2 linked regions of the Oryctolagus cuniculus genome follow. The protein of the gene in region 1 interacts with the protein of each later gene in a pairwise test. Links are inferred from orthologs where the notes say so. Each region holds a gene or a part of one and is shown on either strand. Other genes may lie near its edges.

Region 1 (3,753 bases):
CAACCGTCTGCAAAGTAACTAAAAAGTTTTAAGTCTCTTCCAACATTAACAACCCAGAACCCTATATTCAAAACTATAAATATTTTCAATTGAGAGTTTTACACTCGCTGCTGTCAACTTCCAGGAAGTATAACCCATTACCTACAAGTGGGATCATTTCTTTTTGTTCTGTCTGTAAAGCTGCAGACCCAACTCGGGATGTAGGGAGAGAGTACCTGCCGTGGGCAAGGCATCTTTCCTTGGGGAATACAGACTTCCCCCAGCTGGAAGGGGGATACAGCCGGCACCCCAAGAACCCGCGAGCTAGGAAATGAGTTTTGAACTGGAAAGGCCGCGGCCACTTGGCACCAGAAAAAACTGGAGGGAGCTGCGGACTTTTGCGTTTGTGTCTAATGTAGACCGACGGTAGTCGAGTCACGAAGTCGTCAGACGGCACTTGTCGCGGGCCCGCCACCTCTGTAACCTGAGGCATACACCTAAGACGCCACCCTGCACCTGACGACCCGGACTCCGCGCAGGGCGAGGGCGCAGGTCCCCAGCCCGATGGGGCAGTGCGTCGGGGGAGCGCGGGCGGCGTGGGCCTCCGTCCCGCGAGGAGGGGGTCCACTCAGCACAGCAGCGCCCACCGAGCAGAGGCGAGGGAGGGGGCCGCTGCAGGCGGGGTCGTCGGCGGGGAGGCCAGCCCCGGGTGGGTGATAAAGGATCCTTCGGGCTTTGTTTAGTAACACGCCAGGCCCTGCTCTCCCGAGAAACCAATTAGATCCCCGCTGCGGGATCATCTGACCTGCGTCCCCCACCCGCAGGGGGCTCGGAAGGGGCGGGGCTAGGCGGGGCCGGGCCGGCGACTCCTCGGGAACGCGGCCGCGGGTGGTGCGGGGGAGTCCCGAGCGCTGGACCCGGACCTGGGCCCGCCCCTCGGCAGAGGCCCCGCCCCACGCAGGCCCCGCCCCCGGGGCTTCCCGGGCGCGCGCCGCCCCGCCGTGTCCGCGCGCCACGCCCCCCTGCTCGCGGGCCGCGTGCGGAGCCGCGCGCCCCGTAGGCTCTGGGACCGTGGCGGCGGGCGGCGGCGGCGGCGGCGGCGGCGGCGGAGCAGCCGTCCGCGGGCCATGTCTTCTCCGGCCGTGGCGAGGGGCTCTCCGGGAGGGAGTCGGGAGACGGCCCTCAGGCCCCGGAGCCGAGGCCGGTTTTGGGAAGTGGGCGGCGGCGGCGGCGGCGGCGGCGGCGGCGACCAGCTGGAGCGCGCGGCCGCGGAGTCGGAGCGCTGGGAGCTGCTGCTCCGCCGCGGCGAGCTGCTGGCGCTTGGCGGCCACCTGAAGGGAGCGCTGGAGGCGTACGCGGCGGCGCTGCGCCGGGGGGCCCCGGTCAGGCCCGAGTGCCTCGGCACCCTGGTGGACTGCCTGGTGTTCAACTACCGGCTCCGCCACGGGCTGGGCTGGAGCGCGGCCCCGGCTGCCGGCGCGGGTGCGGGCGGGCTGCTCAGCTGCCTGGGCTGCCGCGGCTTCCTCAGCGAGCCGGTGACGGTGCCCTGTGGCCATAGCTACTGCCGCCGCTGCCTGCGGAGAGAGCTCCGCGTCCGCTGCCGCCTCTGCCGGGACCGGCTGCCGCCCGCCGCCGTCGCCAGTGCCGCGGGTGCTGAGGGGACCGGCCCGCGGCCGCCGCCTCTGGCCGCCGCCATCGCGGCCTCGGACTTCAGAACCAGCGTCGTCCTCAACCACCTGGCCGAGAAGTGGTTCCCGGGTCAGCGCGAGCGAGCCCGGGCGGCCGGCCGGCTCGGGGAGCTGCTGCTTCAGGGGCGCTACCGGGAGGCCCTGGCCGCCGCCTGCGAGGCGCTGCGAGCAGGTGACGGCGCGGGGATGCGGCGCGGGCCCGACCGACCCCACCCTCCTTTCCCGGGCGGGCCGGGTACCCAGAGCGGGTCTGCGCCCTGGGGCAGGCTCGCCCTGCTTCCCCGGGGGCCGCTGGGCACTCGGCGTGCGGGATCTCGGGGTGCTCGAGGGTGTGGGAGGGGGCGGCGCCCGGGGTGCTTCGGTCACAATGGGGATCGCCCTGGGAGCCCACTGTGACGCGGCGCGGGGAGGGGCGCGCGGGCGCGGGGTTCCCTCGGCCGCGGCCTGGCGCTCGGGCGCGCGCGCGTGCGGCGCGGAGCTGCGGGCCCCCGGGCCGGAGGCCGCCCTGGCGCGGGATGGGTGGGAGCTGGGGGAGCCCGAGCGGCCGCCCGCTTCCTGCCGCGCTCTTTCCGGGAATTGGCGGCTCGGGCCCGGCAGGGCCGGGCCACCCCGGGGGTGGGAGACGACATCGCGGCGGGGCGGGGATCCCCAGCCGAGGTTGGGCGGGCTAGGTCTACCTTCCCGACCCGCAAAAGTCACCGGGGCAATTGGAAGCCGCGGGAGGGCAGAATTGCATAAGCTGGGGTGGAGGGGCGTTGTGTAACGGGTGACGTCCGGTGGGCGTGGCGGGAGCTCGGCGCCCGCACCCAGTGCCGCGAGGCCCCTCCGGCCGCGGTGGTCAGCTCCTACCTGGAAGTGCCCGCGGAGTGGGTGCATCTTGAGGCGTCCACCTGCTCTTCTCAGGTCACGCCGGTTTCATTGTGCTGACTCCGGAATACGCCCAGCCCAGGGCAGGGATGCAGAGGTAGTCTCTAACCCAGAGTTACCGCCTCGCTTCCGTTCGCCTTTCCACTTAAGATCGAGCCCAGGGGGAAAGGCCGTGTAGGGCTTTTGTCTCTTCCTTTGTCTCCAGGACGCACCCTCGGCTTCCCAACTTCAGTTAGCACTTTTCCCAAGGCGGTTTTACATTGTGCCAGACGCGCCTGTAAAACTTCCGTTAGAAAAAATGAAGTTCTTGGATCAGTTCTTTTACTAGGGGGGGGGTTTCACTACCCCCTCCCCAAGGACATTATCCAGGGCAACATATCTGGCAGTGTCTAGGGACATTTTTGGTCCCCACCTCTTGTAGGCGTGATGCTGGTCCCGGCACTGTGGGCACTGTGCGGCTGACCTGCCACCGCCAAGAATGCAGGCCCCAGACGACCATCAGTGGCACTGTGGGCGACACTTGTATGAAGTGGATTGCAAGATTTTCATGTCGCTGTGTTGGCAGGAAATAATGCTTGGGGGAAATAATCCCCAAGGAAATAGACATGAAATATTAAACTGACTTTGGGTGTTAGGTAAGTTTAGACACTGTGGAACTGAAAATACCCTCCTGTGGGTGCTTAGTCATATTGAACCAGTGACAGTGTCTTGAGTTATTTAGAACCTTCAGAGTTCACAGCACAAACTTGCCATGTTTTTGAGGCCTTTTAGTGTGTCTGTGGAGGAGGCAGTTGTAAAATATGGTAATAGTCTCAGAACAAAAGGAAAATAATTGGGTATTAAATTCTGATACACCTGACTGCCTCTTGTGGGCAAATAAGCCAGAATTGGCTGGATAGAACACCTATCACAGACCATGTGAGAAAGCAAGGGCTGGAGCAGTGCAGTGACTTGCCCCAGTCACACAGCTGGCTGCTTGGAGAGGCAGCTGTGTGTCCCTTTCTAAAGTGGGCCTTGTGTTCATCTGGTCTTTATAGGTCATCCACTCAAGTGCTCATGCACATTTCCCAGGAGGGTTTTCTATCACTAGTATAAAATAGAGGATAAAACTCACCAACAGCACTATTCAGTATCTACGCCTGACATGGTGATATGACATTCTTTTAAATTAGGTTCTTTATAAGCTTTGAGGTCCTATTCCTTGGAAGAATAGTGAACA
Region 2 (2,557 bases), on another chromosome or scaffold:
CCAGCACCCATATGGGATACCAGTGCTTCAGGCCAGGGCTTTAATACTCTGTGCCACAACGTCAACCCCTACCTGTAGTTTGAGTAATAAAAATATCTGAGGCCTCCAAAAGTTTGGTCAGTTTACTCACCTCATTGATTTTTTTTTAAAGATTTCTTTATTTATTTGAAAGGCAGAGTTACAGAGAGGCAGAGGAAGAGAGAGATAGGTCTTCCTCTGCTGGTTCACTCCCCAAATGGCCACAATGGTTGGAGCTGAGCCGATCCTAAGCCAGGAGCCAGGAGATTCTTCCAGCTCTCCCACATGGGAGCAGGGGCCCAAGGATTTGGGCCATCTTCTCCAGCTTTCCCAGGCCATAGCAGAGAGCTGGATCGGAAGTGGAGCAACTGGGACTCAAACCGGCGTCCATATGGGATGCCTGCCCTGCAGGTGGCAGCTTTACCCACTATGCCACAGTGCTGGCCCCTCACCTCATTGATTTTCAAAACCAATCTGTATAGATACATTGATAATTTCATAATGATTTCTTTAATATTTTAGAACCAAATAAATAATGAAACAAATCTAATATAGATTTAAATCAGAATCAATGCATTTATTGAGTAAAAATTTGTTTTTTCAAACAATAATGAGTAGTTATCCTATAACATAAATTTTATCTCCAATGAAGACTTTAGACTTTATTTTGAGTTAGTACACAAATTACAGATTTTCAGATGAAGTCTGTCAGCCAGGATTTGATGCCAGAGACAGGGTGAGAAACTGATAATCAGAAAATAGGAAGCTAAATAGGAAGACTATAACAATTATTAATAGAGGCATTAAAGACATTGGTCAATGGCGTTAGAAACTTAATAAGATGATCAACAGACGCCGGATCCAGACCAACAGGTTGGCTGGAAACAAGAAGACTGGCAGGTCCTAGAGGCTGAGCAGGATGGGCGGCAGAACCCAGATCCATAACCCAGTGAAGGAAAGCCATGGACTCTATAACCCAGGGGTCTGAAACCACTGGATCCGCAGCCTGAGGAGTGGCAGCTCCTTGGTCCACAGCTCAGGGAATAGGAGCTTCTAGATCCACAGCCCAGGGAGTTGCAGCTGCTGGATCCAAAGCCCTGAGACCCCGTGTAAATTGTCCTGCAGGGATTGCAGAGTGTGGAGGTCCTCCGGCGGTAGCAGGACGTCTGGCAGGGGCTGGACACCACATAGGAAGTCTGGCAGCTGGTGGGCTCACAGCCAGGCTCCTGACAGCCACTGTACAAAGAGGAGCCCGGCTGACATGTGCTGGGACATTGGAGTCCTGCACTGTAGAACGAGTTGTTTGGGTAGGAAGAGCCACAGGAAGACCTTGGGTAGCGCAGGTAGCCCCCAAAGGACTGAGAGAAGGAGTTTCCAGAGCAGCAGTTGTAGGGCATGGTGACTGGAGGTGGGAGAAGGTTCTGAGTTTGGATGTCACTTGTCACTGGGACATTTATATGCTCTCAGCAATGGGTGTGGCCCTTTACTTACAATGTCATCTTTTCCATAGTTAGACTCCCTCATTTGCATATACGTCACTCAGTAAAACTTCTTTGTAATTGCAGCAAACTAACACCCTTCATGTTGTATTTATGGGTGAACTCCTTTTGTTTTTACAGCTCTGTGTCAGTGAAATACACTTATGCTATAAATGCTATGACTGTATGTAATTAGTGTCTACTCCATCACAGCCAGGAAAGCCCCTGTTTTTTCCCAGGCTATGACATGTAAATCTGCTCCTGTTTGGGCTGGAGAATTCTTTCTTCCTAGGGTGAGGACTGTAAAGCAGCCATCTCCCTCTTGGTCCTTGACTGAGAGGAAGAAATCTGGTCTTAATAAGGAACCTTTTAAAGACTCCCTCACCATCAAAGCGTTGTTTCAAATCCTCCAATATAATTTCCATCTGTTACTTATCATCAGTGTTTACTATGTTTAGTCTAGATATGCCACATAAAACCAAGGCAAAGGAATTGAGAGATGACCAGGAATGAACAGCATCTTGCACAAACATATAGAACAAATTTACTATTCAGAAAAATGATGTGAAAACAAAAAAGAGAATGATATGGATGTAAGCATAGGGAAAAAATGTAGTAGATGTGATTTAGATGAGATAGGAAACAAGGAGCAATAGCAGAGGGAAAGGCAGGATTTTCCTGAGCCCAAACCCTGGGGATGGATGGTCCAACCTCATTTAAGTCTTCAAAACTGTTTTCTCTGGTTTAATATGGTTTGAGAATGCTCCCCAGGGGTTCTTGCGCTGGAAGCTCCATCTCCAGTGCAGCAGTTGGGAGGTGGAGGAAACGTTGATAAGGGTGTGCTAGTGGAAGATCATTGCGGGTGCTGTCTTTGGAAGTTCTTGTAGGACCCTGATTAGTTCTCATGAAAGTAAAGTGTTATAAAAAGAGCAAGACTGGCTCCTTTCCCGTCTCTGATTCTCTGCCCCTCGTGTGGTCACTCACACACACTCTGCATGATGCCATGAGACAGTTACCAGAATCAAGCGGAAGCTGGTACCATGCTCCTGGGTTTCCAGAAC

The links.
Region 2: the proteins of LONRF1 (region 1) and keratin-associated protein 13-1 interact in a two-hybrid assay, tested with the Homo sapiens proteins (2 studies listed by BioGRID). The two-hybrid records come from large-scale screens. The link is inferred for Oryctolagus cuniculus from reciprocal best matches to the Homo sapiens genes LONRF1 and KRTAP13-1.

The regions. Positions count from the first base shown.
Region 1 is NC_091433.1:77,989,643-77,993,395, forward strand, and holds the start of LONRF1 (LON peptidase N-terminal domain and RING finger protein 1), read left to right. Parts: upstream 1-999; 5' UTR 1,000-1,106; coding exon 1,107-1,839; intron 1,840-3,753.
Region 2 is NC_091435.1:14,994,550-14,997,106, forward strand, and holds keratin-associated protein 13-1, read right to left. Parts: upstream 1,445-2,557; 5' UTR 1,416-1,444; coding exon 864-1,415; 3' UTR 563-863; downstream 1-562. UniProt on the Homo sapiens protein: In the hair cortex, hair keratin intermediate filaments are embedded in an interfilamentous matrix, consisting of hair keratin-associated proteins (KRTAP), which are essential for the formation of a rigid and resistant hair shaft through their extensive disulfide bond cross-linking with abundant cysteine residues of hair keratins.